Linked DNA regions of Neodiprion lecontei. The protein of the gene in region 1 binds, or shares a complex with, the protein of each later gene. Links are inferred from orthologs where the notes say so. Each region holds a gene or a part of one and is shown on either strand. Other genes may lie near its edges.

The links.
Region 2: mortality factor 4-like protein 1 (region 1) and vacuolar protein sorting-associated protein 72 homolog share a complex: the UniProt entries of both Drosophila melanogaster proteins name them as parts of the tip60 chromatin-remodeling complex. The link is inferred for Neodiprion lecontei from reciprocal best matches to the Drosophila melanogaster genes MRG15 and YL-1.

The regions. Positions count from the first base shown.
Region 1 is NC_060265.1:18,754,370-18,771,616, forward strand, and holds mortality factor 4-like protein 1, read left to right. Parts: upstream 1-5,357; 5' UTR 5,358-5,583; intron 5,584-5,616; exon of another isoform or gene 5,617-5,763; coding exon of another isoform or gene 5,764-5,782; intron 5,783-7,410; exon of another isoform or gene 7,411-7,974; 5' UTR 7,975-8,440; coding exon 8,441-8,468; intron 8,469-8,542; coding exon 8,543-8,660; intron 8,661-9,479; coding exon 9,480-9,788; intron 9,789-9,886; coding exon 9,887-10,105; intron 10,106-10,384; coding exon 10,385-10,557; intron 10,558-11,095; coding exon 11,096-11,265; 3' UTR 11,266-12,091; downstream 12,092-17,247. Other genes in the region: centrosome-associated zinc finger protein CP190, read right to left, coding at 897-3,009, 3,112-3,378, 3,567-3,706, 3,846-4,013. UniProt on the Drosophila melanogaster protein: Part of the Tip60 chromatin-remodeling complex which is involved in DNA repair. Upon induction of DNA double-strand breaks, this complex acetylates phosphorylated H2AV in nucleosomes and exchanges it with unmodified H2AV.
Region 2 is NC_060260.1:912,957-928,071, reverse strand, and holds vacuolar protein sorting-associated protein 72 homolog, read right to left. Parts: upstream 7,755-15,115; 5' UTR 7,403-7,754; coding exon 7,269-7,402; intron 7,161-7,268; coding exon 6,940-7,160; intron 6,839-6,939; coding exon 6,656-6,838; intron 6,565-6,655; coding exon 6,330-6,564; intron 6,213-6,329; coding exon 5,976-6,212; intron 5,879-5,975; coding exon 5,647-5,878; 3' UTR 4,149-5,646; downstream 1-4,148. Other genes in the region: 60S ribosomal protein L15, read right to left, coding at 561-680; ras-related protein Rab-11A, read left to right, coding at 1,717-1,756, 3,021-3,216, 3,307-3,581, 3,675-3,811; exocyst complex component 3, read right to left, coding at 7,905-10,175; deoxyribose-phosphate aldolase, read right to left, coding at 11,213-11,446, 11,509-11,885, 11,961-12,102, 12,161-12,348, 12,439-12,697; DDB1- and CUL4-associated factor 13, read left to right, coding at 10,532-10,601, 10,747-11,144, 13,503-13,671, 13,756-13,903, 13,988-14,288, 14,365-14,528, 14,659-14,746. UniProt on the Drosophila melanogaster protein: Part of the Tip60 chromatin-remodeling complex which is involved in DNA repair. Upon induction of DNA double-strand breaks, this complex acetylates phosphorylated H2AV in nucleosomes and exchanges it with unmodified H2AV.

The DNA.
Region 1 (17,247 bases):
ACTTGCAACACAATGAACGTAGTTCTTAAGATTTTAGCGTATCTGATTTACTAATCGCGAGACATTACAAATGTGTTGACCACTTGAATAGCAGAATTAATATTCATCTCCTACATGTCAGAAAGTAAGAAATATTGCATCTAGAAACTGATCTGTGATCGTAATAAAAAAAAAACCATAACGAATTATAAAGTATGACAGTGAAGCGATTTGTGGAAAGAAGTTTTGCAATAATAAAAAATAAAAATTCAGTTTGAATGAACTTAAACAAAAGTTTAAATGCTCTAATGGTCATTATTGAAATAAGTATCAAATAAAGTATTTCTGTAAACTGATGATTCTTATTGATTAGTTTCAATGTAAAAAAAATTTCTAATATTTATGAGATAAAACCTTTGTGGAAATTAAATTACTGAATTATGTCCAAAGAGTAGGATAGTTGAAGTTTCTGAGCTGAAGTATTCTGAAGTAAATGGCGTTTATCGAAAAATTACATTATCCTCAAGAATCAAAAAGTACTGTGCAATTGTACTGTAACAACAACGTGGGCTCCTAATTACCCCAATAAAAGTACAGAAAACAACCAAATCTTCCTCAACACTTTAAATAAATTGACGAATGACGTTGACCATATAAAATACATATCCTTGTATGTATTGTGAAACTGTTTGTGGAATATCCATTAGTCTAATTCATTCTGATCTACTATACTCCAGGAAGCAAATTTTTTTTATAATCGATACGGCTATAACAATCGAAATGGAGTATTGACCTTCATTTTTAATATTTTGCCTACTCGAAAAAACCAAATCGGTGACAGATCAGTGAAAATCATTTTTATTTGATGTTTTCTCAGTACCAATTTATTATTGTGTATCAGGAAGCCTTTTTATTACCTACGTTGTACCCGTGTCTGCACTGTCATCATCCCATTCATCAGCTATGGTACCAGCTTTCACATTTTCTCGCGGATTTTCTTTCACTGTTTCACCTTCTGTTGCCTCGATTTGTTCCTCTTCTATAATCATGACAGACTCTTCTGCCGGTTGGGATTCAATGGTATGCTCATTTAATTGCTCTTCATGATATTCTAGTATTTCTGTTTCTTCCTCTACATATTGGACCAGGTCTTCCCCTTGCTCAATGTTACCTTCTTCTTCAACCATACCTTCGTTTTCTGTTCTTTCCCCTGTGGCCTCTTCATACTCTTCTGTTACTTCTGCTTCTTGAGCTTCTTCAGTTGCGTCCATGTCCTCTGTTTCTTCATTTTCACCAGCTTCCCCTTCTTCTACCTCTTCAACCTCTTCTTCAACTTCTTCTACTACCTCTTCAACAATTTCTTCAGTTTCTTGACATATCGCTGCCGAGTCATCGACCTGATAATGTTCGTGACTAACTTCCTCATTCTCATGGACGTAAACAATCATTCCATCTTCGTCACCTTGCATAACTATCTGTTCATTAACCCCTACGTTCAATTGGTGTACTGTTTGCTGATGGTCACCTCCCTCTTGTTGTTGATATTCACTGTTATCAATTAGCATAACCATTTGTGGTTCTTCACCAACTTGTTGTCCGTTATACGCTATATTGTGCATTCCATCAGTAATTTGCATCTCAGGAACAATATACTCCGTCTGATCTGTTGTAATTACTTGTTCATGTGTTGCAATAGCATCACCTACACCCAGGGATGCTGCAATTCCACTAGCCACATGACTCAGTGCTTCTGCTTCGGATGACGGCTCTAGAGCGATTGGAGCTGTTGGCGCGATGTCGGAATTTTTTGATATATCTTTATGGACACAATCAATGTGTACCTCCAAATTTGACGCTCTTACAAACAGCTTACCACAGTGTGGACAACGATGGGGTTTATCTCTAATTTCGCTTCTGTTTCCGTGACCTGTGTTCATCTCGTGGCTAGCCAGCTCTGATATATCTGCAAAAGTCTCAGCACATTGTGAACACTGAACATTTTCGGATGACGGAGATGGCTGATGAGCAGGGGCGCAATGTTTGTTGTTGATTTGATGTCGAGCTAGAAGATTTTCAGATAGAGCGACATAAGAGCATGTATGACACTTGGGGAAACACATACTTTTAGGAGGTGGTACGTTATGTTTCGTATAAAGGTGGTACATTAATATATTGCGCTTAGTAGCCTTATAACCACAGTGTTCGCATATCCTCGGGTCAAACCTTTCATCATGAACATCCTGCATGTGTCTCCTATACATATAATAAGTCGCATATTCTTCTTCAATGTCACATTTATTGCATTTCCAAGGACCTGACTCTGTTCCGTCCCCTCCGCTAAACTTAGGCTCTTCTGAGCTTTCACTGTTCGTGTTACCCATCAGGTGGTCAGACTTGAGCACAACGTAAGAAACTTTAGTTTTAGTCGGAATACTTGGTTCGGCTGATTTTGCCTCCTTCTGCATGATTTTAAGACGTATGTTCTTGTTATTTCTAACTAAGTGGGGATACTTTTTGAGAACCTCTCTTATTATTTTAGCGTGATTGTTTATTGCTTCTGGGGTGTTTGTTGGCGATGAGGTACTCTTAGCTTTTTCTAAATTTTCTTTTTCCTCTAAATCAAATCTTACTCGTTTAGTCCGAGACTGATTGGATTCTTGCGGTCTTAGTATAGACTTGGGACCGCCCCAATCATCATCTGAATTGTCTGCTGCCGTTTCTTGGTTCCTACCATGATCATCACCCTCCTCATCATCTGAAGTCTCGTTTTTATAATGTCTATCTTCGTCTCTTGAACGTTTTATTCCAGTTTTGAGTTCATTGTCGCAATCGTCTTGTGAGCTGGGCGCCTTGACAATAGGTTTTGTGTTATAGGTAATGTCGTCAAAAGAGGAAAATACTCCCAAAGCAAAATCTTCCACTTCAGGGAGATCGAATCGAGAGGGACCAGGAGTGGTATCCTTACCAAATGAGTTATTTGGGTAGTCGTAATTGGATGCAGAGTCTAACTTTCTTTTCCAAATTGGGAGCCTGAAAAAATTCGTCGCGAATTGAATATTTTAATAAAAACTATGAACAAAAAATGATAACATGGTAAATGATTATGTAAAAAATTGATAGCTATGTACTTACTTTCGTCCTGGTAATGGCTGTGAAGGCAAAATTGTCGAATGACTGAGACCACTTAATATTTTTTTGCTCTGCGTGACAGGTTTTGTCATAGTAATTACTGGTTGAACATTAGATTTTGACTTTGGTGATGGATTCAATTGCAAGTCTGTGGTATTAAATTGTGCATCAAGTAACTTCGTTAAGACAGTCATGTTCATTTTTTGTGCTGTCCGATACAGAGCATTTTGTTCTGAAGTCCAATACTCCAATTGACCAGTGTACATAAAACTGTGGAAAAAACGAAAAAAAAAACACTGAAAAACGACATTGTACATTTTTCTGCAGTGGAAACTAAGTGTCAAAAAGATTCTAGGCTATCACTTTAGGTACATTATCTTTGTTATTGAATGGCAATAATACAATGTACTGTTTTCCAAGCCTCTGAAAATCAATGATAAAAATAAAGCATAAGGTACCTGATGATAGACTTGACACACTCATAAGGCATATCCGGTGGCATGACAAGTACACCATCAAAGTTATCATCTTTTTCTTTGAGCTGGCATTCGAGTTGCGTAAAGTAATCTGTGCATGTTGTGATTACTAGACGATGAGCCTGTTAGGATTAATAATAAAAATACTATTGACAGTTGTCAAATCATGTTTTAGAAAGTACCACAAGAAGTAAATGATCCAGCTGCGTCATGAAGTTTGCTAAACTGTTCAATAAGAGTAAATACAAGTAAAATATGTACCTGTACGGTGATGTCACTAGTTGGAAATTTGATTGTAAGGTCTAGTAACTCTTCTTCAAAATAGAGCTGTTGCAATCGCTGGAGAAAAAATGTCCCCCAATTGTCTACTTTCACCTGCTTCAGCCCCCGCGAGGGAAGCTGTTTAACTTGATTCGTGACAGTCTGCATTGTCCAGCGTCTATATTAGATATGTAAAAGGAAAAACAATATCATTGACTTTGATTCTATAAAGATACATATTTATACTTTCAATGGATTTCAAGCTATTTCTTTTCTCTGTGACCATGCATTTATTCACAGTGCTTAAATCGAAAGTATGCCAACTTTGTCTAAAGAAAGTTTAGATTGCACACAAAATTTACACAGTTCTGATCCGACAGTTTAACGAAAATGAAAATTGTCAACAAATACAAAATCAAATTGTATCAAGTTAATCCAGTCGCTGCAAAGGACAAGTGATAAAAAATCATTGTGAAGAGATTTTGTGGACTTTAGTATGAGATTTGAATTTGCAAGTCTACGCGTTACTGTTCTGATATATTGCAAGTTATTGAACATTGAACTATAGTTTAGCTGACTGACAGTGAGAAATAAACCGAAAAACTGATTGTAATTGCAAGATCCTTATCAGTGACATGTATACCTATGTAGGTATTTGCGGATAGAGGAATACAGAACAATCTGAGATTGTTAAACAGAATAAGTTGGTAGAATTGCTGGAATATTGGGCGGTTAGAAATGGAAAAACTCGATTTATCCGGCTGATGGATCTCGCCTAAAGTGAATGTTGGCGAGGTGATACATGTAAATAGGCTCGACCAATTAACCTAATCTACGGAAGGCTAAGTTCCAGGAGAGAATAGCGTATGATGTACAGAACGTATACGTCGCAGGTTTCGAGCGACCAGGGGACGCGTCTGGTCATCCCATTGTGGCCTTTGCTTACGGGGCTTCGGGTTAGTCCCGAATATCTGAGCGGAGTATCTGATTATTCCAGTTGAGGAACGATACCGGAACATTCTTTAGCGTTCAAACGCACGTACCTTTTCAACAGGATTGTAGCAATTCTCCGGTCAGCTCCATCTCTTACAAATTTGCTCAGTAGGCGACTGATATCGAGCTTTTCACTATCGTTCGTGACCCACAGATGGCGCTGTTGTTGGGCTGTCGCGTGCGGCCGGAAATTAAAAATTCACTATCTCTAGCTTCCTTTCTACCCTCACAGGAATATCAAGTAGACTCATAACTAGTAAAAATTATATTTGAAAAATAAGCTTGTTCACCTAAAGTTTTACACTGACTTGTTCGTTTAACCTAATTCACTATTATTCAGATATTTTCATTTGATATTTTCATTTATCTACCAATTTTTATTCACGGTTGTGCGCATCGGAGAAGTGCGCATGAGGTCTGATGCATTGCCACACAATGCGCATGCGTCGATTGCCAATCTTGTATAATGTTGGTATAATATTAATTACCATAGATTAGACGATATTCTGGGCAGTCTGAGCACTCCGACTTACGCTCCGGCTGAAGAATAGTATGCCGGAAGCCAGCGGCAAAACTCACAACCCATGCGATGCTATAAGGCCGAAACAGCGAGTTCCGTTTGCTAAATCACCAACAATTTTAACGTTTACTCACACCCTGATTCTATCGGAGGGGCTTATATTCACTCAGACTTTTAGTGTACAAGTGATTTCGTATGACTTCAAGTGATTCCGGATAATTTCAAGTGATTTCAGATCTTTGCAATACACTACGTCTAATTTTTCCCACTTCGTATGATTTCATGCGATTATATGTGATTTCACGGAATTTCTAATTGTTTTTACATAATTTCATATCGATTTCACACGAATTGGGGTTTAACATTGATTGTAGAATGACTTCGTGACGAGTATGGTAGATTTCCATGCAATTTCGGCTTGTAGGCAAGAGATTTCACGTGGATTTACATATCATAACTGTAATTCTTCTTTTACGTTGTGATGTTTTAAAACTATTTCTGCTCGTTCCATAATATATTACATATTTCGAATTAATTTTATATCCATTATGGCGGATAGGGTGAAAAATCTAGAAAGATCAGAAAACAGAAGTTACAAACTAAAATTTTCGAAGTCGTGAATATCTATGTGACAGAATTTAAAAAAGCAGAAATTAGAAATATGGAAGAGTTAATTAATGTAAAAAGGTCAGAATTCTGACGATTCTATGTTTCGGTTTTGTGTATGGGACATTCTACATCAAATTAACACCGCATGTACCTCACCCCCTTCGATTTGGATCATTTTTTAGTATAATGTTCTTGCCGACCCAAAAGTGTCTCAGATTTTTTTTCAGATTTCTTGAGCCACCCGTGAAATTTAAAGAAAATCTGAGGACCTATTCTGAAACCGCCATTTTAAAAATCTGAAAGTAATCAAACAACACTATTCTTTTTCTATTTTCTAGTTTTTCCATGTCAGAATTGGAATTTTTATTTTTTTGGTCGGGCACAACTTTTTCAAATATGAATGGATTTCAATTTTTCTGGCATTTAGAGAAATGTCAGAAGTCCTGAATACAGTTGATGCCACTGTAATTTTTTATTCGCACTGTCTATAATATGTATATTACACAATCAATACAAAATGCGCTTAATTCTGAACTGCTCTTTCTTTAGACTGTTTTCTTTTTGTTTCCGATCGGAATCCATTACGGAATCATAAAGTTAATGTAATTTTAGTTACAATCTTTCATTTTGAATTTCTCTTCATTGCTTTCAGTTTTTTTCGGTTCACAATTTTGCAAGGCATTGTTTCAATAACTTGCAAAAACAATTAGAATGGCATTAACTGTATTCAGGCCTTTGAGCATTTCTCTAAATTCCAGAAAACTTGAAATTCATTAACATTTGACAAAGTTGTGACCGATAAAAAAAAAAATTTCAATCCCGACATCGAAAAACTAAGTATAGTAAATATTGAGATTCCATTATCGTGTGGTGCTTAAAAAACATATTTTAAATCATAGAATCAGTTTGAATTTTATTCAAACGCGTGGATTATGCGTGGAGTTTTCGTTATTGCGATGCTTGTTCGCTTTTTTTTATTTTATTGTCAGTCCTCCGTAGGGTGGTTTCCTTACTAACAATTAGTAGTTTTTATTTCAGTTTTTTGTTCCATTAGTTGCTTATAATTACCTTCTGGTAGTTTCTGCCTCTTTTCATTACACAATTCTTAATCTCTCTTTTAAAGGGTTCCACAGATTTTTGTCGTACTTCATCTGATGAATCATTACATATTTTATTTTTGATTCAAACAAAATGTACACTTTTTTAACCTGAAAAGCGGGACGACTGTAGCGTATGATTCTCTTTTATACTTTTTTCCGCAAATTACTTATCCCGTTTTTCGGAGTTTCTCTCTTCTTTCTCAATTTTGAACTAATTCTTACTGCATTATTATAAATTTTAAATAATATTATAGTTTTTGGAAGAATAAAATTATGACACATCCGCATAATAGAAAAAATGATGATTTTTTATACAAAAAATGCTTTTATCCGTTTACAGAGTGTTCAGCGACCAGGAATTCCTGGAAAACCGAGAATTATACGGGAATTTGAAATTGCCCTTAAAAATGCCAGAAATATACGGCAATTTCATATAGCAGCCGGGAAGTTTTTCATTAAATTGAATTTGCATAAAATTTCGTCCTAGGTCTAGTAATGAGATCCCTGACTCAACTTATTTCACATTAAGGGAATGTCCTGGTCCATTGCGACGCTGAATTATATATATACATATATTGCAGTCGACGTACCTCAACCGCGAAAAAGGACTCAACACTCCCTTCTTATAGACAATTCTGAACAAAACTACTTCAATACATTTTCATTTGACGCAGAAATAAAGAAATGGCATGTACTCCACAAATTTACTGTAGCGATTTTACAGAAAGCATCCCATCCCTTTATTTGTGCGTCAAATGAAAATGTATTGAAGTATTTTTGTTCAAAATTGCATATAGAGTAGGGCAGTTTAACCCTTTTCCCTGGACCTCGTTATTTGGCGATATCGGCCAGAGCACCCCCTTAAAGACGGTTACCCTAATGGAGTACTTTGTGTTTGTCAATGAAGAAGCTGACGGAACTTATCCGACGAGTACCGGTCGCAGTCATAAAAATTTGCCCAGGGGTCACCGTACTTAAATTCTTCAGTCAACGTTCTGTATGACTCATCGTCCTGTTTACCTGTGAAAGACTACCATCTCCGTCGGACCTCGAGCGTGTCGTATATTGTGAGACTCCACAGAAGCAAACAAAGTGTAGCATTCTTGTATAATACTGTTGCGATTGATTTACTCTCTTCACGAATCCAGATTCAGCCTTGCCATCACGCTGGAGACACGGATTGTATAGTTGTGTGAGGTTGATATCAGTTACGCAGAGTACGACCGAGAGAGCGTCAGGCGTCTGTCATAAGCGTCTTGTGCCCTAACCTATAAATTTGATCGTCGGCTATCAAAAACGATTTGTTTATTTATTTTATCAAACAAAAATAAACTGGGGGGAATCAAGTAGAGTGTAAAAAGATCAAAAACAAAATGCCACCGAAGTGTAAATTTCAAGAAGGTGTGGTAATTGTAATTATTTGTACTCAAATTGGCGATAGTTGAATCCATAATTATTATACCATTGGATTTCAGGAGAAAAAGTACTCTGTTTTCACGGACCATTAATATACGAAGCCAAATGCCTGAAGTCTTCGGTTACCAAGGAGAAACAGATTAAATATCTGATACACTATGCGGGTTGGAACAAAAAGTAAGTAACCGTTTATTCTTATTTTCTGAACTCTACCACGGTTCGCGTGTATTTGCAAGAATACAGGTTATAACAAATGTTAAGCATTGTTTTGTAGAATCATTTAAACACAATCTTCAATCTCTTTCCTAATATTTGTTCATTTGGTTGTTGAATTATTGAAACTATCAAAATCCAGTAAATGGGTGGACTTTTCTTAAGTGGTTACATGTTCATATGCCCATTTTCCTCATTTAATAAACCTGGATAGTTCATACGCTCCAAAATTTGGAAGTTAATTACATTACAATTTCTAAAAACCAGCAAAAATTTACCAGCACTTATTGAATTATAGGACAGTATTTACTTTTTTGTGCAAAGTATTCTCTACCACTATCTGAATGTGATATCACTGTGCTTATGTAATGGGTAATTAAATAATAAATCATAATCATTAATAAACAAGCATTTTTTGAGATGAGGATACTTGAATTTGATGTATTTTGTGTTTTTGCATTTGATATATCGCGTTTTGCGCAGATGTATACTGCAACTGGTTTTCTTATTACCATATTGTTAAAACATTCTTATTTACCTTAAATGTCGGAAACATTCTTACCTAACTTTTAATGCGAGATTGCCATTCCAGGTAAATATAAAAAAATAATTTCACAAATGCAGTTTTATACCTTACATTCAGGGTTGATTTATATTGAGAACAATACAGTATTACTTTTAGTATGAAACCTGATACATTAGTCTTTTATCATATCCTAGATACTACTGTAATGGAGTAAAGTCACAAATTACATAAGGGGACGGATGACTGTTTACTTTTAGTTGGGATGAATGGGTGCCAGAGAGTCGAGTGCTGAAGTACAACGAGTCGAATGTACAAAAACAAAGAGAAGTGCAACGTGCCCATTCAACTCAGCAGCCTTCGCACAAAGGTAAAAAGACTGGGACCACTACTAAAGCCCAAGGGCGTAGAAGTGAGAGTGGCAGAGACAAAGATAGTGAAAGTCGGGCAAGTACTCCTGTTGGAATAGCTGAGAAGACGGGGGGCCGGTCTATCAAAGGGCTTGGCGGGGGTGCTACACCGTCATCGTCCCATGATTCGTCGTCTGATGCACCGCGCAAAAAAAGAAGGTTCTTACTTCTCTTCACTCTCTATAACAACAAGTGACTAGATTGGTAAAAGTTTTGTAGTATTGTTAATAGAATCAAACTGATTCATTTATATTCAGCCGCGTTGATCCTTCTGTGGAAACGGAGGAGCAGTTCTTAACAAAAGTTGAGGTGAAGGTTAAAATGCCTGATGAGCTGAAGCCGTGGCTTGTCGATGATTGGGATGCTATTAGCAGGCAACGCAAACTGGCAATACTACCTGCAAGGAATACAGTCGATCGTATTTTGGACGATTACGTCAAATTTAAGACATCTAGTAAAACCAACAACCCCAATAAGTATGTAAATGTTCAGTTTTAATTGAAAAATTTATGACCAACTAGAGTTTGCTCAGACCTCACTCTACTCAGTTTAAAAGTCCATTACTCCGCTCCAGGAAGTCATAGCCGCATAAACCATGGACCTGAGTGGAATGGCACCAAATTGAGTTTTGGGACCATTGCATAACACACAGACATACGAACTGACAACGCAAATACGTTTTAACTTCTTTTCTACTAATAGTTTAAATAATAGCTCGGACAGAAACATTATTTTTCATACTAATTTTTCTGCAGAGAAAGCGCTGTTCTAGAAGTGACAAAAGGCGTGCGGGAGTATTTCAATGTGATGTTAGGTACGCAATTACTTTATCGATGGGAACGTCAACAATACAGTGAAGTAATGACTGAAAATCCAGACTCAACTCCCAGTCAAATATACGGAGCTTTCCACCTACTCAGGCTATTTGGTAAGCGACAAATTTATTCTCAAGTCTTGTATTGGATTCAAAGTAGCACATATCGTTTCAGAAAATGATTTGGTTAAAAATATTAATCATAACAAACCTAGTGAATTTCATAATTAATGAAAGTGCAATTTTTTCAATGAGAAAAATTAACGGACGACCAGGAGAATCTACCCTGGGACCAGTGGAGGCCTATACCTGGACTTATACCCACTGGACCACCAGGTTTCCTCGCTACTGTCACGTTAATCCTTCTCATCTACTGTCTTGAATTAATTGCATATATATTCTTGACTAGTCAAAATAGAAAAAAAAAATCTAAAAGCAGCATACGCTAGTAGTTGTAAATAAAACTCGTGTAATAGGCCGCAGTATGCAATACAAACCATGCTTTGTGTTAGCCACCGATACCTTGCAAGCAAGATACGTGCATACGACTTCGCCTAACGAGTATGAGTGCGATGTAGTCAATAATATCATATATATAATGTGAATTTAATTTGAGTAAATTTCAAAGTACTCTAATAATTTCATCCTACAGTGAAACTTGGCAGTATGTTATCTTACACACCTCTCGACGAGAGAAGTATTCAGTTACTTTTGGCGCACATACACGACTTTTTGAGATACTTGCATAAGAATAGCAGCGACTTATTCAGTCTTCAAGATTACGGAGCAGCACCACCGGAATATCACCGTAAATGCAATTAAGTTGAATTATGCAACATTTATATTAAAATGTCAGCAAAATGAGCCAATGCATCCATTTTACCGCTTATTATAATCACTGTCAAACTGCATTGTCCCTCTTGTATTTACTATGCAATTACCATAATATTTTCCTCTTTCTCTATGGTTTAATATTTTCGTATTCAGTTATTTCAAACTTGTGTGCAATTTCATTTTTAAATAAAATAACCTCATACGACATTTCTCTTGGACTGTTTGTCCACAAATATTAACCCCTATAACGTAGGTAATTATTGAAGTGACATTTTTTCGGGGTTCCGATAACATTCCCATACATTTTTTTTTTTTTATTGTTCTCAATCAATCACCTACAATGGAATGTAGGGCGTGATTTTACCGGGTATGAAAAAAATCATTCTCGGGATGACTTCTGTGTGTTTGACCGAAGAATGTAAGCCCTTGCCAAAGTTTAAAATACACGCGTACGATGGCAGTGCAGGTTGAATTATTGGAATTTCAAACGTTGGGAGAAATAATAGTTTCATGATATGTATCGCCACAGATCGCCACTTGATCACTACGAAATACACGTAATGTGTATTATTTTCGTACCTCAGCTGTACTACCGTATTAAGCAGAAAGGTGGTAACTTGTTTTCTTACCATTCTAAGATATTCAGTTTCATATAATAATATTTTAGCGGACAAGTTCTCATATTTGAATTGAATCACGAAGATAAAAGATTATATTACTTATTCTAGTTATAAAAATGTTAATTATTAGATAATTAAGTAATAAAATTGAAATTTTTTGTATTAGCTACTTTGAGAATTATTATTTGTAACGTTTAATACTAAGATTACCTGATGTATCTTATGAATTTGAATAATTTAAAAATTATTTGTTAATAAATTCTACTTTTTACATCATTTTCTGGGAAAACATATTAGAGAGAGTATCACAAGCAATGAAATACTTAGATATTTCAATTGCAACTTAAGCTAAGGGTTAAGCAGCTACGCTAAGAATACTAAGATATTTTAGTCGTAACTTAAGAGGTTATGCTAAGAATATTAATATATTTTGGCGTAATTTATTAATATCTTAGTAGTTGATACAGTAATTTTACTATTAAAAAATACTTCAAATTGATTATACAATAAGAATGTTTACCAGTCGATACAACATCATCTAAGACTCATAACACATTTTCGTGAAAAAAGTGATTTACTACCTCTGTGCGTAGTACGGTAGTATAACTTTAGTCTGCGAACAGGTCTGTAGGTCACGAGACGTCATATAAAACGTTTCGTCAACGATGCAATAACCATAATAGCAATGCGTTTGTTGCCTGATTGTCAGAAAACTGTGCCATCGGCACAATTTATTTTTGCCTTTTTACAAACAGCATAACTTCGAGTGTTGCACAATATCTGAGCGGATTCAATTTGTGAAGAATCATCAATTAAAAAAATGGAATGAGGGCGTGTCAAGTTTATTACATTTAGATTTGTGCAAGCTATGAAAAAAATTTTAACCACATTTTACACAATTTGGTTTTAACATGAGAAAAAATTCACGCATGAAATTAAATATAAAAACTTCGTGAATTCGTCGGTGTAAACAGAGGTGCTAAAATATCCGTTTTCATCGGTCGGTTCTATTTTGAAACGGCGGATCGTGCGGCTGGCCTAGCGGCTATAAACGCGAGGCAATTTTTACGGATAGGAAAATGAAAACACGGGTCCGAGGGAAACTTGATTCCCCCGATGCCAAAGTTGGGAGTAACTTCATAACGTACGAGACGACAGAGAAAAAATCATACCTATAAGTTTCAAGAATTGTTTGCATGGCATAGTTATTTGATACGCGTATACATTTTATATCGCACACCGCTGTACAATACTGTGGGGGGAAATGAGCGTGCTCGTTATGCTCGTCAGAGATTATTCAGCTGTTCGTTGCCCCAGAAACATGTCGTATTTATAACATGGGATACCGCACGCATCTTTCGTTAATGTGGGAGGCGCATAAATTTGGCGCGGCGGAAAACAGTCGAACAACCATAAACGGTAAAATATAGCTAGATGTCATTTAATTTCAAGAATTTAACCCTCGTTTAACGTCGTGTGTATGTATAGAAATAATTACTTTCGAGGGTGTTTTCCCGGAGGAGTTCTCTGTTTTGAAATTTTTTATTTTATGCCAGCAGTTGCGATAGCTTCTGCCATCTGCAGGGAGACGCCGTCCGCGATACATCGGTTATTCATAGCGCAGATTATTTCAAATATATGATACGTACGATACGTGTAAGTATGCAGAGAGAATTTTTTTAGAATTTACGTTCGGCGATCCGATATGATTTTCGCTTTTCTCTGTAATACGATTCGCGCGAGGAACAGAAGCAAAGAAATGAAAAAGGGAACCGGGTATGAATCACTTCATCCCGGCCCTATGTAGGAGTACGATACGGATTTATGTTGTTAAATAAATAAATGGATAAGGTCTCGCTCAAGTTTATGACACACTTATTTATAAAATTTACCTCTTCATAACGGTTTATGATATTCTGCATCGCTGCAGGTTGAGTCATCACATAAGTTACACACTCTGTTGTGGTTCGGTGAAGGCTTTTCTGCCTCCCGACAGTGCTCTTTTATACTCATGCACTGTAACAAGCGTAGCAATCGATTGAAACAAAATCTAATTTAAATATATTTCATCGATTACGGGTAAGTTTGTGCACTGCTTTTGCATCCTTGCCCGTACCAGCATGGATTCATCTTAAAATCATTGATTTTCGCTTGTATCTAAATATGAAATATGAATCTCTGTGAATAATAAACTCTCTTCTGTGTGAAAATTTTATTCTAAAAAAAATCAGAGTATTCTTAAATGAAACTTTGGTGTAAGTTAATTTTCTATCTGTACACTATTTCGTTATATTCAATAGAGATTCAATCGAGTGCGATAACTTAATTTAGTCTCATGATTTTCCCAGAGGACATTCAAGCATTCTCTTCGGCCAACAAAAATAAATAAATAGCTCAGAGTTCTAATAATGAAACTGAAATTTGAATAAAAGTTCAATAAATTAAATTTGATGTAGAAATGTACCACTCGCGAAACCTTGCAGGGATGTATGTAAAAACAGCAAATAAAACAGGATAGTGTTGTCAAATTCCAAGAAATCACGAAGTTAAATACGGCGAAATTGTAAAATTGACAATTAGGTATCTTGGAATGAGTTGACAGTGAATCTCTACGACACTCTACGACTTTTTAATACGGAATCTCCGTTCACAGATTTCGTCGAAAAACTTGTGGTGCTATGCATGAATATTAGCCAAGAAAGATCGCACCAGAAACATGACAATCCCAAAGATCGTGATCTATTTTATCAAATCATCGGCATCGAAGTATCACCGCGGGATTGGGCAATTTCATGGATATATCATACAGCAGGTACTTTGGACATTGAAACGATTGACTTTCAAAGTCTGCCGGAATACGCGTTCAAAGGATGGAGATGACTCAGTAAGCCGTGGCACCTTATGAGCAGTTTTAAGCAAGTAGGACACCGGCCTTGCGGCCAGGAACAGAACAACTTTGTTGAGATATTGCTAACCATTATCTGCAATGGACAAGGTAAAATTGCATATTCGGCTGATAGCCAGGCCATATGGTGGTCTATTACTTATTACTATCCTGGCCTTGGTCTCGTTTTGTCCAGTCGTCAGTTTACCGAGCAGCGCTTGTAACCGTAGAATCTTCCAAAACAAAAAGGAAATAAGATCGTCAAAAGTTCCGATAATCTCTTTTCTGTTATGGCATGCTGATTGCAAATCCCGACCATGAAGACACGTTACGAACTTTCCGTTTCATACTCAAGCGGTTTATGATACGCACTTTAAATTACTCGCAATTATCAGCATTTTTCACGGTGAAACGTGAGCATATCAAGTGCCACACGATCGTTGTCAATCTTCTCTTATCAATACAGCGGTCGTTTTGACTATCCGCGATTATTACAGTGTAATCCCATACGACACGGCATACTTGAAAAATATTTAAGAAACGTCTCGTTTGAAACATGTTATATATTTCACTGCAGCATTTTAGAAATATGTCACGATTATGTCCATGTCTGCATATATAACTTGCGAAATATTTTCCATAAATATTTCATAAGTTACAAATGCAGACACAGACACATATCTGATACATTTTTGACACGTTGCATAAACACTTCATGCTACAAACGAAACATTTCTGAAACATTTTTAACATATTTCGTGCCATGTGGTTGGTTAATACGTAAAGTAAAAGAACGTATTTTTAAGTGGATAGCAGGATTTTTAGGTCACCGTAACCTAACTTTGGTCCCGAACGTCGACTCTAAAATTCCTATTCAAAGTCCGCTGTGACATACTTCGCATAATCATGTCCTAAGTCGGTATTTGAACCGTGATCTTCGCATTACTAATCGCACATTCTAACCAGTACGCTATACTACCGCTTATGAGGTCTTTCTAGTTTTCTCTGTGTCATTTCCGCCGAAGTAATGTAATGAAATTCGGCAATAATAAAACGAGTGATTAGTTTAAAAAATTCAATTTTGTCGGTACAGTATATTGAATGGATCATGTATTATAGGAAGATGGTTTTAAGTGAAGTTTATAAAAGTACTGGAAATATTGGGTGGCATCTTACATATGTCTAAAATATTTCAGCAATATTGGACACGGCATATTTGAATCGTCAAATGTTTAAAATATTTTTGAAATAAAGAAACTATTACGTGTAAAATAATATATTTCTGAAATTTTTACCGATATATTCAACTGTTATATTGCAGTTGAGATGTTTCCAAAACAATTCAGAAATACCCGAAGTCTTACGTTGCAGTTGGAATATTTGTGAAACGTTTCGATAGTTCCGGTGATGTGATCTTACATTTGAAATATTTTTGAAACGTTTCGGAAATATTGAAAACGTTATATTACACTTTACATATTTCAGACACATTTCAGAAATATTCTTGAAATTATGTTATGAATTTGAAATATTTCTGGCGTATTTCATGTGTTGTTGATCTGATTTACTATGCTTCGAATTCCTTTCGTCACAGTTTCTTTGCTTCCTCTTTGCCGTTTTATTCTTTTAGGACACCGCTGACAATAAGTTAGGGTACATGGAGACCAGAGCAAAGTAAAGCTTATTAATCGGATGAGATGTGTTACGGAAAGTTGTAACTGACGGTGCATATTAAGAAAAATGTAGTGGAATGAAATAGAATATACAAATTGATAGATGTAGGCAAAATCCAAAACTTCATCAAAATCCACATTCTCGAAATTCGTAATTCATCATTGCTTCGTCATACTGCAATTCTAATCACACAGTGTTTTTGAGTTATAAATTGCAGGTGTATGGTTTAATTAGCTTCAATTAGTCGATGGGTCTTGATATCGGGCATAAATATGTGTATACCTGTATAGGTGAACCGTGACGGAATTTGTTTGCTCACATGATCGTATGGTACACTTGTGAAGCACACATGAACACACAAGAGTGTATTCGTAATGCACGGACGTAGAGTTCCTGAGAGCTATCAAGAAACGCACGATCAACCGATCTCAACATTTCAAGAACTTGCCCGAATATGAGTCAAGGCTGCCCTCGGGGACCTTACCCACTTTTCCATATAAGGTGGTCAACTGACCGGCTCATGGTTCACGCCTGCGTATGTATGTACGTCTGTAATACACATTGCATACTTGAACGCAAGTGCTGGAGCGCCCAGATGCGAAGATAGGTAAAGAGAAAGAAGAGTGAGTGTGTGTGTGTGTGTGTGTGTGTGTGTGTGTGTGTGTGTGTGTGTGTGAGAACAGAGAGAGAGAGAGAGGAGGAACTCGTTACTGACTCGTACAGTTGACGATGAGTTACGTGAAATTAACCAACAATGAGATGTACGATCACACGAATTCGTAGTAACTCACC
Region 2 (15,115 bases), on another chromosome or scaffold:
TTCAATTGAACATACGAAAATGATGTCAAATAAGCGGATATTTTTCAGAAAAAACAAGGGTAATTTTTCTCAATTCACTCAGGGTCAGAGTGGTGCATGCCCAATCATCATAAAAATATCGGAAACTACAAAGTTGTACTATTTCCGTACCCAGTCGAACGAAACAACCGTGCACGCGTACGACATGCGTTTCACTGTCAACTTTAGACATACTTAATGATTAATTAAATAAAAATAGACTAGCTAGTGATCAGATCAGATCAGCTTTGACGAAGGTAGTAAAAATATTTTATATCAAGCAAAGAGAAACAATTGCTGTTCGCTGCTTGGTACAGAATATATTTGCCGCTAGCTTTGTACGATTAATTGATACACTTGTGCGCTGGATAACCTAAAAGCACAAACGGAGTAAGACTTTTTGGTATTGCCTTGAGAATTGCAAACTATTACCGAGAGATTGAGGGTAAACGTATAATGGTGCAAAATCGAACGATAGAAGTTCACTGGAAGCTGTGATGTCCTGGATAAATTACGATTATTCAACAATATGTCCGACTCACCCCTTGCAATCCGAAACAGAAAAGGAAAGGACTTGAACTCCATCGTGTAGCGAGGTGCGGACGTTGGACGAGACGGCGCCACTTATCGCCGGCGTACTTTGCGCGCGTTCCAAAAACCATCCAAAATAGCCAGGAATATTTCAATTCTCTAGTCAATTAAGCGGTGTATAAATAATTATATTTGACGCGTTATTTAAATTGACATTTAATGAAGATTTTATCAAAGCTTTATATAATCCAAAAGCTCGTTAAATCTACTTTGTACATTATATATTATACGCAGAATAAATTCGTCGATGCAGCTGTGGGTTGAAAATGAAATCACGGTCGGGGGAAAAACGGGAATTCGGGTTTTGAAATCGTACGGACAAAGGAAATCATTTTCAATCTTTTGCCCAAACAGCAAATTGATGGTTCGTTTTAACGGAGCTATAGAATTCTATCGTACAACATTTTATACAGACACGCCTTGGGTTGGAATGTCTCGATAGTTATCAATCCGGAACAGAGCATTTATTATCTGAAGTGTCATCGCTGGACATGTGCCGCGTGATTATTGGACACTGATTACCAAGTATAATAATTCGAAAAAAAAAGTCTATTTGATAGCTAAATTACAGGGAACTTTATGGCGTTTCAATTCCGTTCTCGGATTTCTCTGAATTCAGTTGAGACTGCGGAATAATGTCGATGTAAGCGAGTTGTACAAAAGCAAAAAGCATGCAATATATGCGCGATCTGTCATTTTGACGTTGCTCATCATCGTGTCATCGCAATAACGCAGCGCATGCGTGTTACGGAGTTGTTTCGAGGTCCCGCGCAAGCGCGGGATATCGGTTTGGAGGGGCGTAGAAAGGAGGCCATATTGTACAGTTAAATTGAAAGGGAGAAAATAATTAATTGTATTATTTTAGACTGGGAACCGTCCAGTCACAGTAATTTTTCAAGTAAACACCCGTGCAGCCTGTCTAAATAATATACCGATCGGTAATCGGTGGTCATCGATAAATCGCTCCTAAAACGACGAGGCTTTTGTAAAATAAATACAGACAGCGACGTCGGAATATTTCTTGCGTATCCGTGATCGGAGGTAGAGGAACAAACGTCGTCGTCGTCCGCAACGAAACCAAGGGAGGAGTTCGTTGCTACCGCGGAGATGGGGACTCGAGACGACGAGTACGATTATTTATTCAAAGGTAATTGTACCCGTTTGAATAATCATAAACTCATAATCGCAACTCGATAATCAAGCGACGGAGCCATAACGCGACTATCCTCTGTCGGTTTGCCAACCTCCGACGAACGCGGCTCGGAACTCCATAGGACTCTTCTCATATAGTCATGTTTCACGCGTTGTTGTATTGTTGCTTGATTTAAGTGACATTGGCACATACGTACGTCACTTGCGTTCTTTCCGTCACGAGGAAACTAACCGTTATCGCTTTTCCGACCGCGAACAGATTATTGTTTGCAGGAACCGCGTTAACGGAATATGTTTGCCACCTTATGAAATTATTTATAGTTTACGCTATTCAAAACGCGGAGATACTCTGCGATCTTTCGACAATATCATTGATGGCATTTATTTGTTCCATTCGCACGAAATATCGAACGTTCCCGAATTACTTTGATTATAAGTTCCCGTTTTGCGTACAACGTACAATAAATAATCATGACGTCAGCAAATATCATTTCTTTTTTACTATTCTTTGTAGTCCTCATTTACGTATAACTCGTAATCAAGTAATGTGACTGTGTCACAACATGACTGAGCCTCCCTCTAGTCTGACTAATGCTTGTGCTCGGCTCTATATGAGTTGCTTTGTTAACAATGACCTTTGTCAAACTTTAGAAAATTATTTTTATGATAATTTTTTCACAGAGATGAAAGTTCAGTTTGAAAAATTTTCTGCACATTTATTTTCCAACACGCTGGTACTGAGAATTTTTGTGACGGAACAGGTTATTGTGCATCTTTTTATCTTTGTTTTGTCCATGTCCAACAGTAGTACTATCGCTATCACACTTGATTTGTTCGTCTGCTCGTAACATGTTTACAGGCTTGTCCTGCCTCCTGCTATACAACGAGCGCGACCTGACACCGAAATAATTTTAATAAATGAGTAAAGAATTCTCGTCGTCGACAATCGCCTACTTACATATATTCGATGTAGAACCCATTGAATCTGTTACCGCACATGCACATATCAACTTTAATTTGCATATATTACTCTATTCATGGCACCGTTTGATTGCAACTGAAATCAATTCTTCTTAGATTCTAGAGTCTAAGAGCACATCTGTAATTGATCGAGATCTCAAGAACTTGAGGTCAATTAATTTCCTTTCATAAGTCAGTACCGAAGAATTAGAACAATTCTGATAGGTAACAGAATGCCATTCGAGTACACGGGGGAAATTAATCAAGGTAATTCCAGTGACAATTGTGTTTGATTACAGTTGTCCTAATCGGAGACTCAGGAGTAGGAAAGAGTAACTTGCTCTCACGCTTCACACGTAATGAGTTCAACCTGGAGTCAAAATCGACCATAGGTGTTGAGTTTGCTACGCGCAGTATAGAAGTAGACAGCAAGACTATCAAAGCTCAAATATGGGACACTGCTGGACAAGAACGTTACCGAGCTATTACCTCAGCGTGCGTATATGATTATGGAATATTTGACTATTGTTCCTTGTGATTGGTCTGTTTGTAATTAATTTGTATTACATGTTGGATGTACGACAGGTACTACCGCGGAGCAGTTGGAGCATTATTGGTCTATGACATAGCAAAACATTTGACGTATGAAAATGTGGAGAGATGGTTGCGAGAACTTCGGGATCACGCAGATCAGAACATAGTGATTATGCTGGTGGGCAACAAATCCGACTTGAGGCACTTACGAGCAGTTCCTACCGACGAGGCTAAGGCATTTGCGGAGAAGAATGGCCTCTCTTTTATCGAAACATCCGCTCTGGATTCGACCAATGTTGAACTCGCTTTCCAGAATATCTTAACAGGTAACATGACAAGAATTCAGTTTCAATTTAATACGAAATTTTGAAAACTTATAATCGTCTTACGTTTCCTTATACATTCTTTCAACTCTTCAGAAATCTACAGAATCGTTTCTCAGAAACAAATTAGAGATCCTCCCGAAGGTGACACTATCCGGCCGCAAAACGTAGAGCCAATCGACGTTAAACCGACGATGAATGCTGACGGAATGCGCAAGCAGTGTTGCCAGTGACTCGCCTTACTGCTTTCTATGTGAGTGGCGCTGTGAAATTGATTCTATTATGGTCATTCGTTATTTAATTATTCTTTATCTGATTAATTTCCAACCATTACCTGACACAAACTATTCAAAAGCTTACATTTTACTAATTTAAGGACGTTTTTCTCCTGTTTCCTCTTACTTTCTGGAGCGTTCTGATATCATTCCAATTTTTCAGAAGCGGTTACATGGTGGGCTGGAGGGAGAGAGTGGTGACTGGTGGTAGGTACAGCGGATGCGTGGTAGGACGCGGACTAAGACTATATTTTCGATCTTGTATAGGTGTAGAAGATCTTTTTTTGGTCTGTTGGTTTAAATGGCAGAAAAAGATTCAATTCTCCCGAAAAAGCGACGTACAAGATAAAGAATTCACCGTGGCCGGCACACCATTCTGCCCTCTATTCAAATTTGTCTTATTTACTACTATACATATACATATATATACACATATATATCTACACTATTATACATATATGTATGTATATATATATATATATTACGTTATGATAATTAAATGTTGTATTACCGCTTCTTTGTAATACATATATAATTATTCTTCTCTACGCATAGTGTGATGATCACGAGTACATATACTATAAACAATTTATAAATAATAACACAATTACAATGATAATTGTGCAGAGCAGACGTCGTAATGAAAATACTAAATATCAATAAAGACGAAACGACGAAGATGGGAATGACTCCATGTTGATCACTACTTGCTCTCGCGCGCACGTAGTAGAATTAAAATAAAATGATACGCGCAAGCACTAAACTGTATGCTTTTCGACTTTATTTTTTACAAACAGCTTCGTGTCCAGAAAAACGTGTGAAATATTAATTTAAAAAATGAAAAAACAAAGGTAAAAAAATAATAAACAATTTCACGTAGACATTTAAATTTAATTTAAGATTGCGACCAGGAAGACATTTTGAGCATGTACAGATAAATGATTGATTGGTTTGATACGCGTGTAGACGCGTTGCAGATTGCGAGAACCATCTTTGTCGTAAAATAGAATGACTTGGAACTGAATGAAATAAATCGAAGCAAAGGCAACAGCGAACAACACGTTGTGGAACTTGAAATGTCTAGGCTTCGCGCACTACACGAGAGATTAACAACTCCTAATTACTATACAAAACATGCTTTAGAAGAAATGAAGGAAAAAAATCTTGAGAAAGAAAAAATTAAAAAATTAAACACACTGTTATGAAAACCTTATGATATGCGTAATTTACTAACCTTATTATTAATTACAATTACATACCTAATTTTTTTTTTCTACACATTTAATTTTATTCATATTGAAATAAAGACGTCTCTTTCGTTGTATCAAATAGAAAACGTCTTAGTGCTGATTGTGGTTTCCTGATTAAATCCATGTAGGTAAATGATAAATTTGCATTTTAGCAATAAAGAATATGAAAACAAAAAAACTTTAACTTATTCTACTAGTTAATGTGAAGTGGCAAAGCTTTATTAAAAAAAAAGAAAAAAAAAAAAAACAATAAAAACCATTGAAACTCGTTCCGTTCGTTTAAAAAATAGATATTTTTTAATCCAATCCCAATTCTTAAAATCCCTCGAAGGAAGTCATCTACCCAACAGAGTAGAAGCAATTTCCATATTTTCGAAAGGGAAAGTGGTGTAAATTGCTTCGATTTTTTCGATTTTCATTCTCATTTTCGTATGAAAATACTGAAGCAGGCATTTGATAAAATAATTATCCAGTGTCATGTCAAATGATGTGACAAAAGACTGTTCAATGCTACAAGGAATAGCGATTGACCAGAAGGATCAGCTAAGATGCCTGCGACACTGAAGCGGGTTCCAGACGAATCGTATTTCTGTTATTATTGCGACGATTTTTCTGACGCCATTCAAGCCACCGTACCAATTCAAGGTTTTGAGTAGCATCGTTTGTCTCTGCACGAGATTCCAGCTGTTGATAATACGCCTCTCTTAATATTCTAAACATTTGTATATTTCTGTACGGTAGCTGTGTCACTGGATCCATATACCGTGCAGGAAGTCTAAAATCATTCAGAAAATATAGTGTATTAGTACCTGATTATTTCAAAGTAATCACCTTCAGGAGTAATACATCAATGTCGAAAGGCCGTAACTTACCTTGTAATTGCACAAAGAGATTTTAGTGAGGGGCGAGGAGCAGGTGTACGTTTGAAAGCTTCCGTAAAAAGTCGTTCGTTTTCAAATGTGATGAAAGTTCTTTCGTATTTAGAACCTGTATCTTCATGAATGATTTGACTTTCAGCTTCATTAGGAGCTGAGCTCGATTCTCCCTTCTGTTTAATAGGTGTATCTTTGTTACCGCCGTCAATAGTTTTTTGTTGATCCATTATTTCTCTGAAAAATAATTTTGAAAGTAGTTAGAACTACGGCAGTTATGGACGTTTTTGTTTTTTATTGCGGTCTGCATATTGCAAAAGGCTTTACACAAATAACGACCAATTTAAGTCTCACTGTTTTTCAGACAAGGGAGGTGATAATCCAGGTTCTAGAATATCACTGGTTGTATTAGTGGTATTTTTTTCATCGTCAGCTTCGACGTTAATTTTTTCCTCATCTTTGTCAGCTTGTGTTTCAGACAGCATCAAAACAGGCATAGACAAAGATTGGTAACGTATAATGGGGCCAACATTTGTCTTTCGCACTGTCCTCGTGTTTTTCTTCTCGTTCTCTAACTTTTGGTATTTTTCTGTCAAAACATGTTAAAAGTATGAGTTGAATAACCATCCATCGGCACAGACAATCATGTCTTTTTACTTGCCAGCAGTATTATTCATTACCTAATGATTTTAAATTTACTTCCTCCGTGATGAGGGCTTCCTCCAACAGTTCTTCCTGCGTTGGCTTCCAAACGTCGTACTTTACAGTCTTAACTTTTCTCTTCAGATCCTCATTTCTCTCTTTGAGTCGTCTTTGGGTCGCTGCCGACTTTGCAGCAGTAGAACGACGAATGGATTTTCTCTCTTTAAAACGAAACGGGGATAGTAGTTTGGCATGAGGCTATAAATACTGCTGATCGAATGGCTATGATCACGTTTATCGCCATTGATATTTCCTGATATACCTGAATTGTCAATAGAAGTTCGACGTTGCCTGGGTGTCTTAGTCTTTTTCTCTTTAGGAGTAGAATGTGAGTGTGCTGAGGTAGGTTTAGGCTCTTTGTATGCCTTTGTAACAAGGCGTCGTTTTTTTTTGGGTCCTTCTTGTTCGGGATCGGAAACAGGCTCGTCATTTTCGTCTATACTAAAATCTGAGTCCACTTCATCCTCGCCTTCGTCCTCTTCCCTGAGTATTCAACAACATTACAATGAAGTATTATTCTGTGAGTGAAATACTAATTTTATGGAAATATTAAACAGAATGTTTGTCAATTGAAATTCTCATCTAACTAACATGTAATCGTTATCCTGCTCGACTTCTTCGAACCCTCCGTATGTAGTTTTATAGAAATCATCCTCTTCTTCTTCGTTGAGTAATCTTGCCATTTTATTCCCAGCATTGGAACGTCTCTCTCTCGTCGATGCCATCGTAGAGAAATGTTTTTTGACAGCACGATTGATTCAATAGTTCACTTTCTTATTAATTATTGTTCATTCGAGGAGAAGATCTTTGATTCAGTGATGCCTGTGAGGCTCAAGCCACTATTGACGTGGGTTTTTGAGGTTAGATCACACTTTCGTGTTCTCGCCAAACGCGTGGCTGTGCGCAACTGTCAGACGACTGTTTTTTTTTCAAACTGAAAAACAACGAACCTTCTATATTCGAGTGTAATTTTTTTTTCAGAATAGAATTAAGACGTTTCGAATTGTGACGTCAGCTACAAATGATAACACGTTTGATTGAAGAAAATTTTGCCGACATTGCTGAATGTATACTTATTGGCTGAACATGCAGAGCACAATTTCTGACAGAAATGCCCGTACAGCTAGCTCTGTGGAGTGGGATATAGAAGTGAACCGAAAAACCTTTCCCATTTTTAATAACTAGACAAATTTCTATACAAGACGAAAAATTATTTATTTACAGTACTCAGGGTTTCCAATTTAAGAAACTATCCTGGATGACAATTTGCTTAAATATACTATTAGGCATGGGCTGTGGAGCTGTTCGATTACGTTGAGCTTCGTATATGTACGCTACTTTTTCCCTAGCTGTAGCTCTCGGTATGTCTCCTCGGAGACTCAACAATCGTACGAGATGATCTTCGGTCATGTCAGGGTATTTTTCAACGAGTGAATGTAGATCCAAAGATAAAATTTCAGAATCCTCGCAACGCAGTACTTCGGCCAGTCTTTTTATTACTTCGAAAGGCGAATCAAAGTTGCCCACTTTGGGTGCAATTCTGACGAAAAAATTCTTTATCTTATCAGCCTCTGTCATAATTTTTGATGTGCAAGTGAGACATTCGTCGTACGTCTTTAGCGATATCTTTCGCTGCAGCATAGCTGCTATATATCGTTTAGCTATCAGATTTTGAGCCTCTGTAATGACATATTCAAAATTCTTTACTCTAAGGTGATTATAGTCCTGAAAATAGTCCTCCAAGGTTACGCAGATCGTTTCTACGGGTATCGGCGAGGAGAGCCATTTTGGGGTGAGGAGATCTTGGAAGTGGAGTTCCAAGTCTAGGAACGACTCCTCCAATAAAATGGTCGCCGCCTCATCTCTCAGCTGTTGGTAATTGGCCAGGAGAGCCTCAAACCTGACAGCAGCATCACCGCTGGCATTGGAAACCCAGTAAAGTTGTTTCATTTGCTGAGCGAGTTCAATAAACTGAAGGCAATTGTTTACAATGGTGATCATGTGGTGAGTGAAGTAAGGAACTCTGCTCCGATCCTCGAAATGTTTGCTTTTGAACTCAAGTATGGCCTGACGATACGCCGCACAGTATCTCACAACTTGGTCTATACAAAGGACAAGCGCTCTGGCAGTTAGTTGATTGCTGATCGTTTTCGTTACTTGGAGATTCTGATCCACCATTTGAAATATGATTACCGGTGCTGCCGTGTGGTAATAGGTTTCTTGCGTACTACCTTCTGGCAGTACTCCGCTCCACCAGTCAACCTTTTCAGTTTCCAATGTCTTCTTCATCCATTCTTCATAGTTCTGTTGCATGTTCTTCAAGTATTGATCCTGCAGTTCCTCCAGGACCTCGTTGCTCAGCAAAGGTCCTATATCACTGGTGTCGATGTTCAGCTCCGGGTGTTGCATTAGTTCTACACCTGTATAAGTGTTCATTATCCAGGCAAGCAGAGATACGTATTCGTTACCCTCTAGGCCATTTGCTATTATGTCTTTCAAGTGTTGAGATAGACTGTTATGGTACATCTCTACAAACTTCCTGACTATGTTGTAAGAGGGTGGGAAGCAAGGTCCGCACAGTGTTTTTACCACCCTTAGGTCCTCGAGGATGAGGAGACGTGCCAATTCCAGATACCTTGCCAGCCACATTTTATTGTCTGCTCGTTCATCTACATGAGTTCCCTCGACTCTGTTGGCCACAGATTTCTCCAATACTTCAATTGCCATCTTTTTCCAATTCTTCGGTCTTCCCGGAGGCATGAATCCGCTCTGCTTATGCCTTTGAATTGCAAACTGATCCGCCTTCTCTTCCCGTTCAATTATCCTCAGCGCCGTAACAATGATGGTTGGTTCTTTTCTGACAGTGTTTAAAGTGCGACCAACAACCAATTTAATTTGCTTTTCCATTAACTGCGACAAAGTTTCTACATCTTCAAAGTACGCTTTCAGCATGACTTTATCGGCGAGTGATTGATTGGGCAGCTTGTGCAGTTCGTACAGCAAGTCGTCCCTCGAATTCTCCAAATCCATCAAACTCTGATGGGCGTGTAAAAGTTTTCCTTCGTTTATCCATTGCTTCGTCTTCTCAACGCTTTCTGGAACAGTGAATATGTGTTTCAGGTTCTCTTTAGCGGTGACGTACTGCGAGTGTCGCATGTTCTCATCTTGAACAGCCTGCAGAGTGTTGTTCAGCTCAGGAGCGGAGCCAAATGACTCGCCGATCAGGTCCAGTTCTTGTTTAATCAAGGAGATACTTTCCAGCGACTCTTGAAGCTGATTGAAACCGACTCTCACCCCGTCCAATTGACTTTGCATCGCAGTTTTCAACTTCGTTTCAATCGAAGCTTTTTTCCGACTGATCCTACGCTTGTAATGTTCTACTTTTTCCAGCTGACCAGGACGCTGGAGCATATTTATTATGTGTTTCGTCGCTGTTGCCTTAGCTTCCTCTTCAGATTTTCGAAGGTCCAGCATTTTTTCTCCGCTCTCGTTCGTCATTATTATTTTTAAACCTCAATCACTCTGTTTGTTGATAGTAAGCGTTTGACAGCCGTCAGTTTTTGAGGTTATAACACAGCTGACGCCCCCATGAGCCCCCATCTACACACCAGAGCCATGTTGCATTTAATTTTCTTGATCGGCGAAGTTTTTAGCTAATAAAGCGATATCATTAGTGTGTTCCGTTAGATCCGACCAATCCTAGGTTACTTCATTTTCAAACATAGTTCATACAGATTCATACACATGGCACAGTAGCCCTTAGATTTCATAGTGCGTTTTTCTCACATGTTTTGTAATTATCAATCGACTTACATATTGGATAATTTACGACAGAGGGCTGGTCCTGTACCAAAATGAAAGTCAAGGTGCTCTGCAGAAATCCCGATGAATATCTGAGAGAAACCAAACGAGATATTCATAAAGGTATTGCACGTATTTCTACCTAGTTTTTCTAACCTATAAACCGTATTGTGTACACTGGATTTGCAGCGAAACCGACAAAAAAGAAAATTAATCTTTTTTCTTTCATTTTTTATACATATTTACTAAAATACTTGATTTCTTCTAGTTCCCAGAAACTACGATCCATCCCTGCATCCGTTTGAGGCTGCGAGAGAGTATACAAGGGCTTTAAATGCAGTCAAGCTAGAGAGAGTATTCGCCAAGCCATTCATAGGGAGTTTGGATGGCCACAAAGACAGTGTGTCTTGTCTTTCCAAGCACCCTCTAAAGTTATCGATGCTTTTGAGCGGAGCATTTGATGGAGAGATTAAAGTGTGGAATTTATCGCAACGCGTATGCGAGCGCTCGTTTCTGGCTCACGACGGTATAGTTCGAGGTATTGCATTTTCATCGGATGGGGAAAGCTTTCTGAGTATCGGCGATGACAAAACTATAAAGACCTGGAAGGCAGAAAGTTCAATAACGGGAGAACAGGAGGATCCTATTAACACCATTGTTAGTAAGGTGAGTTCGTATCTGTAAAATCCTCTTAAATTATTAAACAAAATTAACGCAAGTTTTTGAAGATACTTTTATTTGTCTGAATCATCAAAGTTCTCATGCTCGTATAAAGTAGGTACTTTAGCCTCTTTAACTTCATCCAAAGACCTATTAATCTCGCTAGTGATGTCACCTAGCACACTCGAAGCGCCGATTCTGAACAGGCTATTATGGAGCCATACATCGCTCAGTTCTTCCTTGATCAATACCAGCCACTGCAGCGCTTCTCCCCAAGTTTTTATACCTCCAGCTGGTTTAAATCCGACCTGAAAATACGCAAGTGTTACCAAAAGTATTTCGAACGAAATTACTAACTTATTGCCCGTACCTTGTAACCAGTCAAGTTATGGTAGTCCCGAATAGCTCTGCACATGACAATCCCAACAGGTAAGGTAGCATTTACCGTTTCTTTTCCGGTAGAAGTTTTTATAAAATCTGATCCAGCCATCGCTGCGATTATTGATGCTCTATACACATCTTTGAGGTCAAAAAGTTCACCAGTTGCTAAAATAGTCTTCATTTTTGCTTTTCCACAGGCTTGCTTCATTAATTTAATCTCATTGTATAGTTTTTCCCACTGATGAGTTAACGCTAGCGTTCGATTTATGACAATATCTATTTCTGTAGCTCCGTTCGAAACTGCGAGCGAAATTTCATCCATCCGGGTTTGCAACGGATATTGACCGCTTGGGAATCCGGTAGCAACTATGCACATCATTGGACATTTGTAAACTCATCGTTGTTGTTTTTATGTGAAATTTTGAGTCAGACATTTCTTACCGCTAGCCACGTTGACTTTTCCCGTGGCATTAAGGTTTTTCAATGTTTGCACAACATCGGCGACACGCGCAGGATATACACAAACTGCTGCAGTAGACAGAGAGCCTTCCCATTCAAATGGTAATACGATAGGCTTAACAGCCTGAAAATATTGAAATTGTTAGATCACATCCATCCAAACAGTCTGCATTTAATGTCACCTTCTTAGTGAGTCTTTCAACACTTGCAAAAGTGTCATCACCACCCAGTGTCGTCAGATCTATGCATGTTACTGCTTTGATCAGCCATGCTACACGGTTGCATTCGGTAATACTATTCGCCTTTTCAATGATATATCTAACTCTGGTATTTATGGCTGGTACATTTAAATTGATGCGCTTGATCAAGGCTGGAATAGTAAAAAGTTATTAGCTTACTTCAATTTTTACTACTTTGAACAAGTTTCACACCCAGAAAGGAATACAGTTGAATCTCTTACAAGCATCAAATGGTCTGCCAAGGTTCTTTTCTACCATCTTGATGGAGTTGAGTAATTTTAAGATAGAAGAGTAACGGTGCTTGGTAAAGAACTTGGAAAACTGTCTTATCAAAATTAGTGAACTAGAACCACTGTCTTCTACACAGATGCGGGCACTTCTATCAACTCCGATCTTTTTGCCATAGAGCGCGGCGTAACCGTGTTGATAACGCTGCAATTTCGGTAGCCGGAGTGTGCAGGGTGTGCAACAAAGAGGCATATATAAAAGCCAGCCTCCCCCTCACCGGCGCCACCTGGCACATTTTTAGGTCACGGTTTTAGCATCGACATAAAGAATGGACTGCGAGAGCGGGCCAAAAACGTGTCCGCCGAATGGAAAGAGACGGACAGCAGTACGGGCCTATTCGTGTTCTTGTTTCAGCTACGCGGTGGGATATTCAATCAATAGCGGTCTTGGAAAGAGACAGCGATTAACACTGCAATGCTTTATCTCGCTTGCACAGCGGCGGACATATTCTGTGCATTGCTCAGGCAGGGAACGCGCGGTCCATTCTGTATGCCGATGAGTTTTAGAGACTGAGTGCTCAGAATTTTGTAGAAGACCGTGACCTGAACGGACCTGCTATTTATGGAAGGTTATCTGTCAATAGGGGTCTTCACTGGGACCCTCGCGTAGTTGAGGCCACAGTTACTTGTTTTACAGAGGCTGAAAAATTGAGTTATAAAACTTTACTTTTCATAATTAAATAACACTTACTTTAATGAATTTATTTGTCAAGTAGCTCATTTCTCTTCGTAATAGACAGTTTTAAGCATGGGTCAATTGTGGAAAACAAATATATTTTGATTATTGCACAGATATACTGTCGCGAAAATTATTTGACAGTTTTGGCACAAATATATTATTTGATTTTACGCTCGCAAAAAAAATACTAGAACATTGGCGCTATCTACACCGAGTTTGACGAGTATGGAGTTTAGGCGGGATATTCAAACGCAAGTTATGGTGTTGGTAAATAAAAAGAGCTGCTAAATCAACTTGGTGTTTTACTGTCAAATTGCAGACTGTCCTAACGGGCTTGAGTCATCATCGAAAAGACCCTGTGTTTGCAACCTGTGGCGAGGTATGTCAAATCTGGGAAGAGACCAGAAATGAACCTGTGCGGACTTTGAAGTGGGGTGTGGACAGTTTACACGATGTTAAATTCAATCCTATCCAAACGAACTTGTTAGGTAAATGACGTATGATTGTATCCTATTTTTATACTAAGATCTGGGCATATTTATAGTATAATCTCATTATATTTATTATTGCAGTTGCCTGTGCCAGCGACAGAAGCACAATTTTATATGATACGAGGGAATCTGGTCCACTGCGAAAAGTAGTCATGAAGCTAAGAAACAATAAGATATCGTGGAATCCGATGGAGGCTTTTGTTTTTACCTGCGCCAGCGAGGATTATAAGTAAAACTCATTTTTTACATAAAATTTCGAGGCTATAAATCGGGGCATCCCAGTTTTTACAATTTAATTTTTTTTCTCGCTCAGCCTCTACACGTTTGATACGCGAAAATTGAAGTCTCCTGTGAACGTGCACATGGATCACGTTGGTGCAGTTGTAGATGTAGATTACGCCCCGACGGGTAAGGAATTTGTCTCTGGAGGATATGATAAATCGATCCGAATTTTCGATGTGGCTAAAGGTCATTCGCGAGACGTTTATCACACTAAACGTATGCAAAGGCTTACTTGTGTCGGGTGGTCACTAGACGACAAGTACATTTTGTGTGGTAGTGACGAGATGAACATCAGAATTTGGAAGTCTAGGGCTTCCGAAAAGCTTGGAGTGGTTAGTCTTTTTTCTACGTTTTCCTCTCTAGCGTTACTTGCGCTGATTGTTTAATTTTGCACTTTGCGTTCACCAGTTGAAACCAAGAGAGAAAGCAGCCCTCAATTACAGCGCAGCTTTGAAAGACAAGTTTGCCAGTCATCCGCAAGTTCGGAAAATCGCTCGTAAAAGACACGTACCCAAGCACATATATAACGCTCAGGCTGAGCTTCGTACAGTGCGAGAGAAAGTTAAGCGGAAGTAAGTATTTGGCAGTAGTTATTTGTTTTTCAAAAAATGAGATTATAGAGAAAATCGTCAGTTTTTGATATCGCGGATATTATTGCCTCGTTTTGAACGTAAATTAAAGATTTTTGATTTATTTTTCCAGGGAAAGCAACAGACGGGCTCACTCTAAACCGGGCGCAGTGCCATTCGTGTCTGAAAGATCAAGACATGTTGTTCGTGAAGATGAATAAATATGAAAACTATAGTTAATAAAGATTATTTTCTCTCCAATAAATCTACGAAAATTTATCAATACGAAGCGTTTTCACCCGATCGTTTTGCAGCGATACGAGTTTTACTGTGGAATCGTGTGAAAGGATTTTAAAGTCATCTAGATGGACATGTTTCCTCGTTTCTTGCTTGAAATCTTTTGCCGCAGTTTATTCATTTATTTGTAATAAATAATTTTATTGTTCCATCATACAACGAATTTATATAATTATTATTATCCTTACAGTATGACGAACCCCAAGCAATGGTTAACTTTGTTCGTTCAGCTCTTATCTCACAGCAGTTTATTTTTGCTTCTTTTTTTTTTTAACGTTTATTTTAGCACTTTT